Coturnix japonica: one gene and its partner. The protein of the gene in region 1 purifies or fractionates together with the protein of each later gene. This does not show direct contact. Links are inferred from orthologs where the notes say so. Each region holds a gene or a part of one and is shown in the gene's direction. Other genes may lie near its edges. The genes, in order: STXBP4 and PLK1.

What was found.
Region 2: the proteins of STXBP4 (region 1) and PLK1 purify together in Homo sapiens (affinity purification with mass spectrometry; 3 studies listed by BioGRID and IntAct, counting the BioPlex papers as one, with this or other methods). This does not show direct contact. The link is inferred for Coturnix japonica from reciprocal best matches to the Homo sapiens genes STXBP4 and PLK1.

What each region holds. Positions count from the first base shown.
Region 1 is NC_029533.1:8,101,537-8,105,349, reverse strand, and holds part of STXBP4 (syntaxin-binding protein 4), read left to right. Parts: intron 1-959; coding exon 960-1,136; intron 1,137-2,710; coding exon 2,711-2,827; intron 2,828-3,548; coding exon 3,549-3,598; intron 3,599-3,813. UniProt on the Homo sapiens protein: Plays a role in the translocation of transport vesicles from the cytoplasm to the plasma membrane. Inhibits the translocation of SLC2A4 from intracellular vesicles to the plasma membrane by STX4A binding and preventing the interaction between STX4A and VAMP2.
Region 2 is NC_029529.1:6,809,450-6,813,940, forward strand, and holds the start of PLK1 (serine/threonine-protein kinase PLK1), read left to right. Parts: upstream 1-1,589; 5' UTR 1,590-1,771; coding exon 1,772-2,149; intron 2,150-2,348; coding exon 2,349-2,517; intron 2,518-2,609; coding exon 2,610-2,754; intron 2,755-2,955; coding exon 2,956-3,049; intron 3,050-3,348; coding exon 3,349-3,568; intron 3,569-3,878; coding exon 3,879-4,037; intron 4,038-4,254; coding exon 4,255-4,332; intron 4,333-4,491. UniProt on the Homo sapiens protein: Serine/threonine-protein kinase that performs several important functions throughout M phase of the cell cycle, including the regulation of centrosome maturation and spindle assembly, the removal of cohesins from chromosome arms, the inactivation of anaphase-promoting complex/cyclosome (APC/C) inhibitors, and the regulation of mitotic exit and cytokinesis.

The sequences.
Region 1 (3,813 bases):
TGTTCATTTACATTCAGCAAACTTAATATGGAAGTACCTTTTCACTTCCCTCTCCAAGAGCCTTTCCCTCACCATGGGCCCACTGACGGTTCCTTTGCTACTTAAGACTGTGAAAACATCATTTGTCATCTGCAGGGCCCACCTTTTCTTGCTGATGAGTCACAGCGGCAGGGAAGTCCTGCAGAAGCAGCAGTAGGTTTGATCTCTGCAGGTACGGATTCGAACTAATAAGAAATCCCCCAACTTATTTCAAGGAAGGGGAATTGCTTTGAGCCACGTGCGGGGGGGACGCGTTGGCTGCGCTGTGCCTGTGAGCAGCAGTCGGTCTGTCTGCCTGTTTGCACTGCACGCCTCCTGGTGCTGTGCTGACAGCTGGCAGCAGGAGCTGCTGCCCAACAGAGACCCAGCTTTCGGGTCGCCTGTGTTCCCAGGTGCAGATGACAGTCATGTAGAATGCATCAGCCTCGCCTAATGCTGCCTGTGCTTCTAAAAGAAAAATGCATATACTTGATGTCAAACTAAAGGCTATTTAAATGTATCTTTTATCAGTTTTAATGGGAAGGTCTTTATATAAAACCTCTGTCTGGAACTGGGCAGGAAAATTAAGAACAGCACTTATTTGTAGAGCAGTAACAGCAAAGTGTGTAGCAACATCATTGGAAGGACTTCACCTCCTGCAGAAGAGATGGGAACAGTTAACAGCTTTGGATGCATGTCTATAAGGCCTCTCAATCCATTGGATTTGAAGTAATCGTGGAATTAGTGATGTAATTTATTGGGAGTATCGTCTCTCTATAAAAACGTGATGTAAAAATCAGGAATGGATCCACTGACTGGGAACCCTCACAGGTAGCCCTGACACAAGCCACCATGCTTTTAAGCTAAATTTGCACTTAATCACAAAGAGTTTGTTTTTTAGCAGGAGTTGCAACTTTTCAATTGAGTTGTGTCATCTACAGGAAGCCAAGGCAGCTGTAGAGGAGACCAGAGCCCTGCGAAGCAGGATTCATCTTGCAGAAGCTGCACAGAGACAGGCGCGCGGGATGGAGATGGACTATGAAGAAGTGATTCGCCTATTAGAAGCTGAAATAGTGGAGCTGAAGGCTCAGCTCTCTGATCACTGTGGCCAAAATAAAGTAAGCAAAGCAGTCTCCTGTCATAGTTACCATGGTTTCCTTGCTGTTGTCATGTATCTTGTTTTCATTTTCTGTTCATCTGCTTTTCTAAAGTAGGTCACTGTTTGTCTTGTATTATTCAATAACTGGAATGATGTGTAGTGAAGGGGATAATGTGAAGTGCATGAGTCTTCCTTTATCCAGATATCTTTGGGCTGCAAAAACAGGAGCTGGAAGCACATGTGGGCCATAGGTCACCATGACACATCTCAAGCGTTAGAGCAGGGATGGTTTCTGCTCTGTAGCCAGCAGCTGGGAGGATGATGCACACATCTGTGTGCCTTTGTACATACATAAAGTGACCTGAATATTTTTTATACTTCTGTTAGATTAAAAAGGCTATAAAATCCAGTACTGCTCTTAAGTACATGTGGATTTAATCAAGATAGCAATGCAAATGATGTCAACAGAAGTCTGCCAGTGATATTTCCTATAATTTTTTAATTGAGCCTCATATTTTAAAACACTTTGTTTCCAGTGAATTGTTTCAAAGTCTGCTGGGGAATAAAAATATTGGAGGCACTTTTTAATCTTTTACACGTGGTTCAAACAAGTGCAAACAGGTTGAGGTGTGTGTGTGTTTGCCTTCTTTTTCTCGTGCAAAATAGATGTGCACAAGAATTAATGGTGAAAGAGGCTTAATGAAATGCTGCCGTTTCTCACGGTGAGAATTAATGCAATACTGAAAGGTTTTAATAAGATGAAACTGACCCCTGTGGTGTACGAGTTTATGGAGGAGCAACATAGGAAATGTGTGTAACTCCTAGGGAGAAATCCCCCTCATCTGGTGCTGTGTGTGATGGTCGCAGCCTCTCCAAACATCTGGGTGAAATACCTGCCTGCACAGCTTAAGGCGGTGAGAAACGATGTTTCTGAGCTGAGAATTTGCTCTATGAAACAATATCACAGTGCTCTTTGTTACTGTTTCCATGTATGTAAACAGGAGGCATTACATTTGAAAGCTTTTCTCATGGTGTTGTCATGTTGGCAGTTCCAAGGACTCAGGAGAAAACCCTGAGCTAATGAGCGAGACTCGGCAGAGCTGGGCTCACACTGTCTGCAGCTGGAGGAAGGATGCGTAACTCAGATCAATAGCTTATACAAACGCACGTAGAGAAATCCTGGGGGGTAATTTTCTCCATGATGTGCCATAATTACTCTGCTGGCCAAAGGATGTACAGACGCAAACCGGAGGACCACATCTCCTCACACACTGGCTATTTATGGCACCCTGCTGATAGGCGCTGCCAGCGTCACTTCAGCTTTGTTCATCCGGTCATGAATCAGAACAGACCATCCTAAGTTTGAGGCCATCACTGCTATCAGCTGCCAGTCTGAATTTACCTGGATGTGATATCCAGGAGCTCATTTACTAGCAGCTCAGGCACACCTACCTGAGCAGGTATGGGTAGGAAACATAAGGTGTAAAACATTTCAGACGTCCATTTTAATACATGCCTTTTACCTTTGTGAGCCATTGAAGAAACGATGAAAATAAAAGCCTTAAACCAGATTGTACCAAACATCTTTTCCAGGATAACATCCAAGATTTGAGAAAGAGGGTGACTGTTCTGGACTGTCAGCTGCGGAAATCGGAGTCGGCAAGGAAGAGCTTTGAGGTGGCTACTGAAAAACTGCTACAGTTCGTGGAGGTAACTGTGACTCTGCACTGTTCTGTTTGGAAAAGCTGTTTATGTTGATGTTGCTGAGGAGTAAAACTGAATGGAACATGTAGTTTGCAGAAGCCCTTCCCTAGAGGTCATCAGTCCTCCCTCTCCCCACAGCACTGGCATTGCCCACTTGGGTTCTTAGTATCTTCACAAATGGGGACTCCACAGCTTCCATGGCAGCCTGCTCCAACATGCAGCGGCGCATCCTGTCATCGTGTAGGAGAAGATGGTTGCAGTCATGAATTCCAGTCATTATTTTAATATAATTAATAATTATTTTTAATGTGACCAGTCCATTTATCTTTTTGAAGGTTAAAGTGTTTGTTGAACAATTTGTCAATGTGGCCGCATTGCCATGAATTAACGTGTTATGTACATTAACGTGACCCTTCGTAGACTGTTCTGGAAATACTAATGAAATCAATATTTGCAAGAATAAAAGGCAGCTGTGAATAATTCACTAGGTATGAAGTACTGGGAAAATGAGAATAGCCATGAAATTGGCTTTGTAAATATGTTCTCTAGGAACTCATTCCATATCATTTTGTAACTTCTGATGATAGATTTTGTAGCTGTTACTTCTCTTCATCTCACTGGAAGACTGTAGATTCTTTAAAGTACAGATCAGAGCCCATGTGCCAAAGCTATGACCTTCCTGACGGTGCTGATTTATGAGGTGTTAACTTCTCACTGTGGCCAACAGGTTGTGCACGAAATGCTCTCGGAAAACTCTCCTTCCTCAGCTGTTCTAAGGTAAGCAGATCTGAGCTGTTATTCACATGAATGTTGAAAACTTTTGTCCCTAGAAGTTGCCTTGTATGCATTTTTTCCTATAGTTTTCTGTTGTATGTTTCTGAATGCCATTATACTCAATGTGGGGATGGGAATTTAAATATCATGTTTTATTTGAACTTTCCTAAAAGCCTTTGTTGTACAGACAGAACAAATTCTGAGACAAACATATGCAG
Region 2 (4,491 bases), on another chromosome or scaffold:
CCCAGATGGTTTTTGCTCTGTTCATGGCTGTTTTCCTTTGGTGTTCTATTCTGCTCCAGAATGATCACATTAGGGGATGAGAATGTAAAGTTACTTTTCTCACCAAATGATGTTAGGCTGCAGTGAACTCTCCAGCCTTAGTGCATGCGGTTTGTTGCTGACGTTCTCTTTACCAGCTCGTGTTCCACGTTATGGCTGGTGAGGGAAAAGAATCATCAAGGAGGCTGGGTACAATCACATCCACCTGGTGATATGGCACCTTGGTGGCAGAGGGGGGAAGAAACTGAAGAATATGCCAACAAAAATGGGTGGATTCTGCACAATAAAGAAGTGTCACATTCTTGGGTCAGTGTGGAAATGTATTTTATAAGCCAAACGTTGTCACGTGGAAGCATCACAACAGGCTGTGTGGAAAAACACATCGAGCATGAATTCCCTGCACATAGTGAAGTGTGGCAGTGTGAAAAGCTGCTCACAGCCCACAGGGAGAGGGAGGAGATGGATAAATCCCATTGCGTGATCCCTGCAGCAGCTTCAGCCCCGCACTGAGCGGGGACACCCACAGCTTCATCAGTGCTCAGAGCCCCATCCAGCCTGACCATGGGTGTCTGCAGGCACCACCACCTTTCCGTGCACCCTGTGCCATTCCTCACCCCCCTCTCTGCAAACAGCTTCTTTACATCCAATTGAAGTTTACATCCCTTTTAAAACCGTTTCCCCTTGTCCTGACGCACAGACCCACCTTTCTTATAGCTCCCCTTCAGCTCGCTCTCCTGTCGCCCCGGAGGGCTGGCAGTGTCCATTAGTTCTCCCGTGTAGGAATCACCCCGCTGCCAGTTCCTGCCCCAGCCGTGCCAATAACCCACTGCGGTGCCGATAACCCACTGCAATGCCAATAACCCACTGCAATGCCAATAACCCACTGGGTGCCAATAACCCACTGCAATGCCAATAACCCACTGCAGTGCCAATAACCCACTGCGGTGCCAATAACCCACTGCAATGCCAATAACCCACTGCGGTGCCAATAACCCACTGCAATGCCAACAACCCACTGCAATGCCAATAACCACTGCAATGCCACAATTAACCCACTGCAATGCCAATAAACCACTGCAATGCCAATAAACCCACTGCGAATGTCAATAACCCAACTGCAGTGCCCAATAACCATGCGGTGCCAATAACCCACTCGGTGCCATATAACCCACTGCAAATGGCCATAACCCAGCTGGGTGCCAATAACCCACTGCAATGCAATAAACCCACTGCAGTGCAATAACCCACTGGTGCCAATAACCCATGCAATTGCCAATAACCCACTGGGTGCCAATCAACCCACTGCAATGCCCATAACCACTGGGTGCCCAATAACCCACTGCAATGCCAATAACCCACTGCAGTGCCAATAACCCACTGGTTGCCATATACCCCACTGCGTTTGCCCATACCCGCCGCGCCGCTCGCTCCTCCCGCCCGCTGGGTGGCGCTGTGCTCCGTCCCCGCCGGTTCCTGTCTCTTTAAGCCGGGCTGTGTCGCTCCGCTCCCATGTTGCTCCGCGGCGGGCGGCGTGGATTTTAAATCCTCCGGACCAATGAGGAGCCGCCGCGGGCGCGTAACGCTCGGGGGCCGCGTTTGAATCGGTCTGAGCGCCGCACATAGAGACACAGCGACACAGCGCGTCCCGCACGGCTCCGCTTCGGGGTTCGGATCCGGTTCGGTTCCGCCTCATTCGGCTTTGACTGCAGTTCTCAGCTCGGACAGCGGCACCATGAACGCGGCGGGCGGCAAAGCCCGACCGGTGGCTGCGGTGGAACCGGCCCGATCGGGTGGAGCGACGGCGGCTGCGGGTAAAGAGGTTCCGAAGGTTCTGCTGGACCCGCGGACCAGGCGCAGTTACGTGCGGGGCCGGTTCCTGGGCAAGGGCGGCTTCGCTCGGTGCTACGAACTGACCGAGAACGAGAGCAGGGAGGTGTTCGCTGGGAAAGTGGTGCCCAAATCGCTGCTGGCCAAACCGCACCAGAAGGAGAAAATGTCGATGGAGATCGCCATCCACCGCAGCCTGGCGCACCAGCACGTCGTGGGCTTCCAGGGGTTCTTCGAGGACAGCGATTTCGTCTACGTGGTGCTGGAGCTGTGCCGCCGCAGGGTGAGGGCGGGGGGTGCGGGTGGGGGCTGAGCGGGATGGGAGCTGGGTGACCAACACCCCGACCAACACCCCATCACCGTGACCAACACCCCCATCCCTATGTGCTCTTATCCCCGAGTGTTCTTATCCCTATGTGCTCTTATCCCCGTGTGTTCTTATCCCTATGTGCTCTTATCCCCGTGTGTTCTTATCCCCGCAGTCACTGCTGGAGCTGCACAAGCGGCGGAAGGCGCTGAGCGAGCCCGAGGTGCGTTATTACCTGCGGCAAACCATCCTGGGCTGCCAGTACCTGCACAGCCAGCGCGTCATCCACCGAGACCTCAAGCTGGGAAACCTCTTCCTTAGCGATGACATGGAGGTGAAGATCGGTAGGTGTCGGGGTGCGGTGCCTGCAGGACCCCCATGGCTGTCCCACCCCACCTGGGTTCTCTCATTGCTCCCATCTCTGTGTCTCCCCAAGGTGACTTTGGCTTGGCCACCAAAGTGGAGTATGATGGTGAGCGCAAGAAGACCCTGTGTGGGACCCCCAACTACATCGCCCCAGAGGTGCTGGGCAAGAAGGGGCACAGCTTTGAAGTGGATGTGTGGTCCATTGGCTGCATCATGTGAGTCAAAGTGTCTCCTGCAGGGCTGTGAGGTCCCTGTGCCCCACATCCTGTTGGCCCCTGTGAGGTTCTGGTGTATCCTGCAGCTATGGATGTGCTGTATCCAGCACACTGCCATGGCTGCTGGCACCTGACCTCCCTGGTGCTCTGGGGGAGGGAGGGGAATAAATCTAACACACTTCCATGTCTACAAACACACAGGTATACTCTGCTGGTGGGGAAACCACCTTTTGAAACCTCTTGTCTCAAAGAAACATACCTCCGAATCAAGAAGAATGAGTATACTATTCCCAAGGTAAAGTACTTCTCATGGGTGGGTCTATTCATCTTGCAGCCGTTCTTGTACCATCCCATTTCTGGCACTCAGTGGGCTCTCACATAATAGTGAAGCAGCTATTATCACAGTGAGATGGGAAGGGGCTGTATCAATCAGTGGCAGAGTGAACCTGTATGGTTCTGTCTCCCAGGCTTATGTCCTGCTTGCCTGACCCAGAGCTGTGCTCTGAGCAGAACCTGTTGTATTATACAGAGCAGATGCCACTAATGTGTGCTTGTCCTTCTGCTTGACTCACAACTCTGCCTGTCTCCTCCTAGCACATCAACCCTGTAGCTGCTAACCTCATTCAGAAGATGCTGAGATCTGACCCTGCCACGCGCCCAACTATCAATGAGTTGCTGAACGATGAGTTCTTCACATCAGGGTACATCCCCAGCCGCCTGCCCACCAGCTGTCTCACTGTTGCACCTCGGTTTTCAATCGCTCCCAGCACACTTGAACTGAATGGGCGAAAGCCACTGACGGCACTCAACAAAGGTAAGAGGAGGCGTCTGGAAGTGAGGGCTGAGGACTGCAGCACTGGATGAGTGCCTGCCTGGCCTCTAGCAACACACAGACCCATCTGTGGGGAATATAGTGCTGCCTCACCTACTCTCCCAGTTCTCATGATAACTAGAACATATCGTGTCTGGGAGTTCTCCTTGTTCTTTGTCCAGAACCAAAGCAGGGAGCAGTTCAGCTATGAGGTGCATAATGTGTTTCTTATAACTAGGGTAGCATGTAAATTGGTGCTTTTAGAAACTTGCTGCTCATGTTTCTGCAATCTTCTCTTTTTTTTCTGGCCCAGGACCAGAAAGCCCTGCATTAGAAAACCTGCCTGAAAAGGAAGATGCAGCTGGGCTGCGGGAGGTGGGAGACAGCATTGAGTGTCACTTAGCAGACATGTTACAGCAGCTGACTGCAGTCAACTCAGCCAAACCCTCTGAGAGAACTGCAGTGAGACAAGGTGAGTCTGGGGACAATCCCACAGGCACTGACATTTTTGGACAACTTGCTTCTGTCATTGATGCCTCTTGGCTGAACTGAGGGACCAACTGACCTCAGCTTCAACCTGAAAGGCAGAAAAGCAATGTGGAAGCTACTTACCTTCCTCTTGGCCTTGCTTGCTGTGCTGCACAGCATGCCTTAAAATGTCTTCTAACAAACTCCTTTTCTCCTTGCAGAAGAAGCTGAAGACCCAGCCTGTATTCCCATCTTTTGGGTTAGCAAATGGGTGGACTACTCGGATAAGTATGGTCTAGGTAAATAACATGATGGCAGTACTTCAGCCTTTTCTAGCTCCTAAAGCAGCTGGTAGAAGTCCTGATCTGTGCTCAGTGTAGATTTAGTTCTTAAATCATGATCAGTGTTTGCATTCAAGAGTATCACCGGGAGCACCATCAAACACTAAGTGAACACAG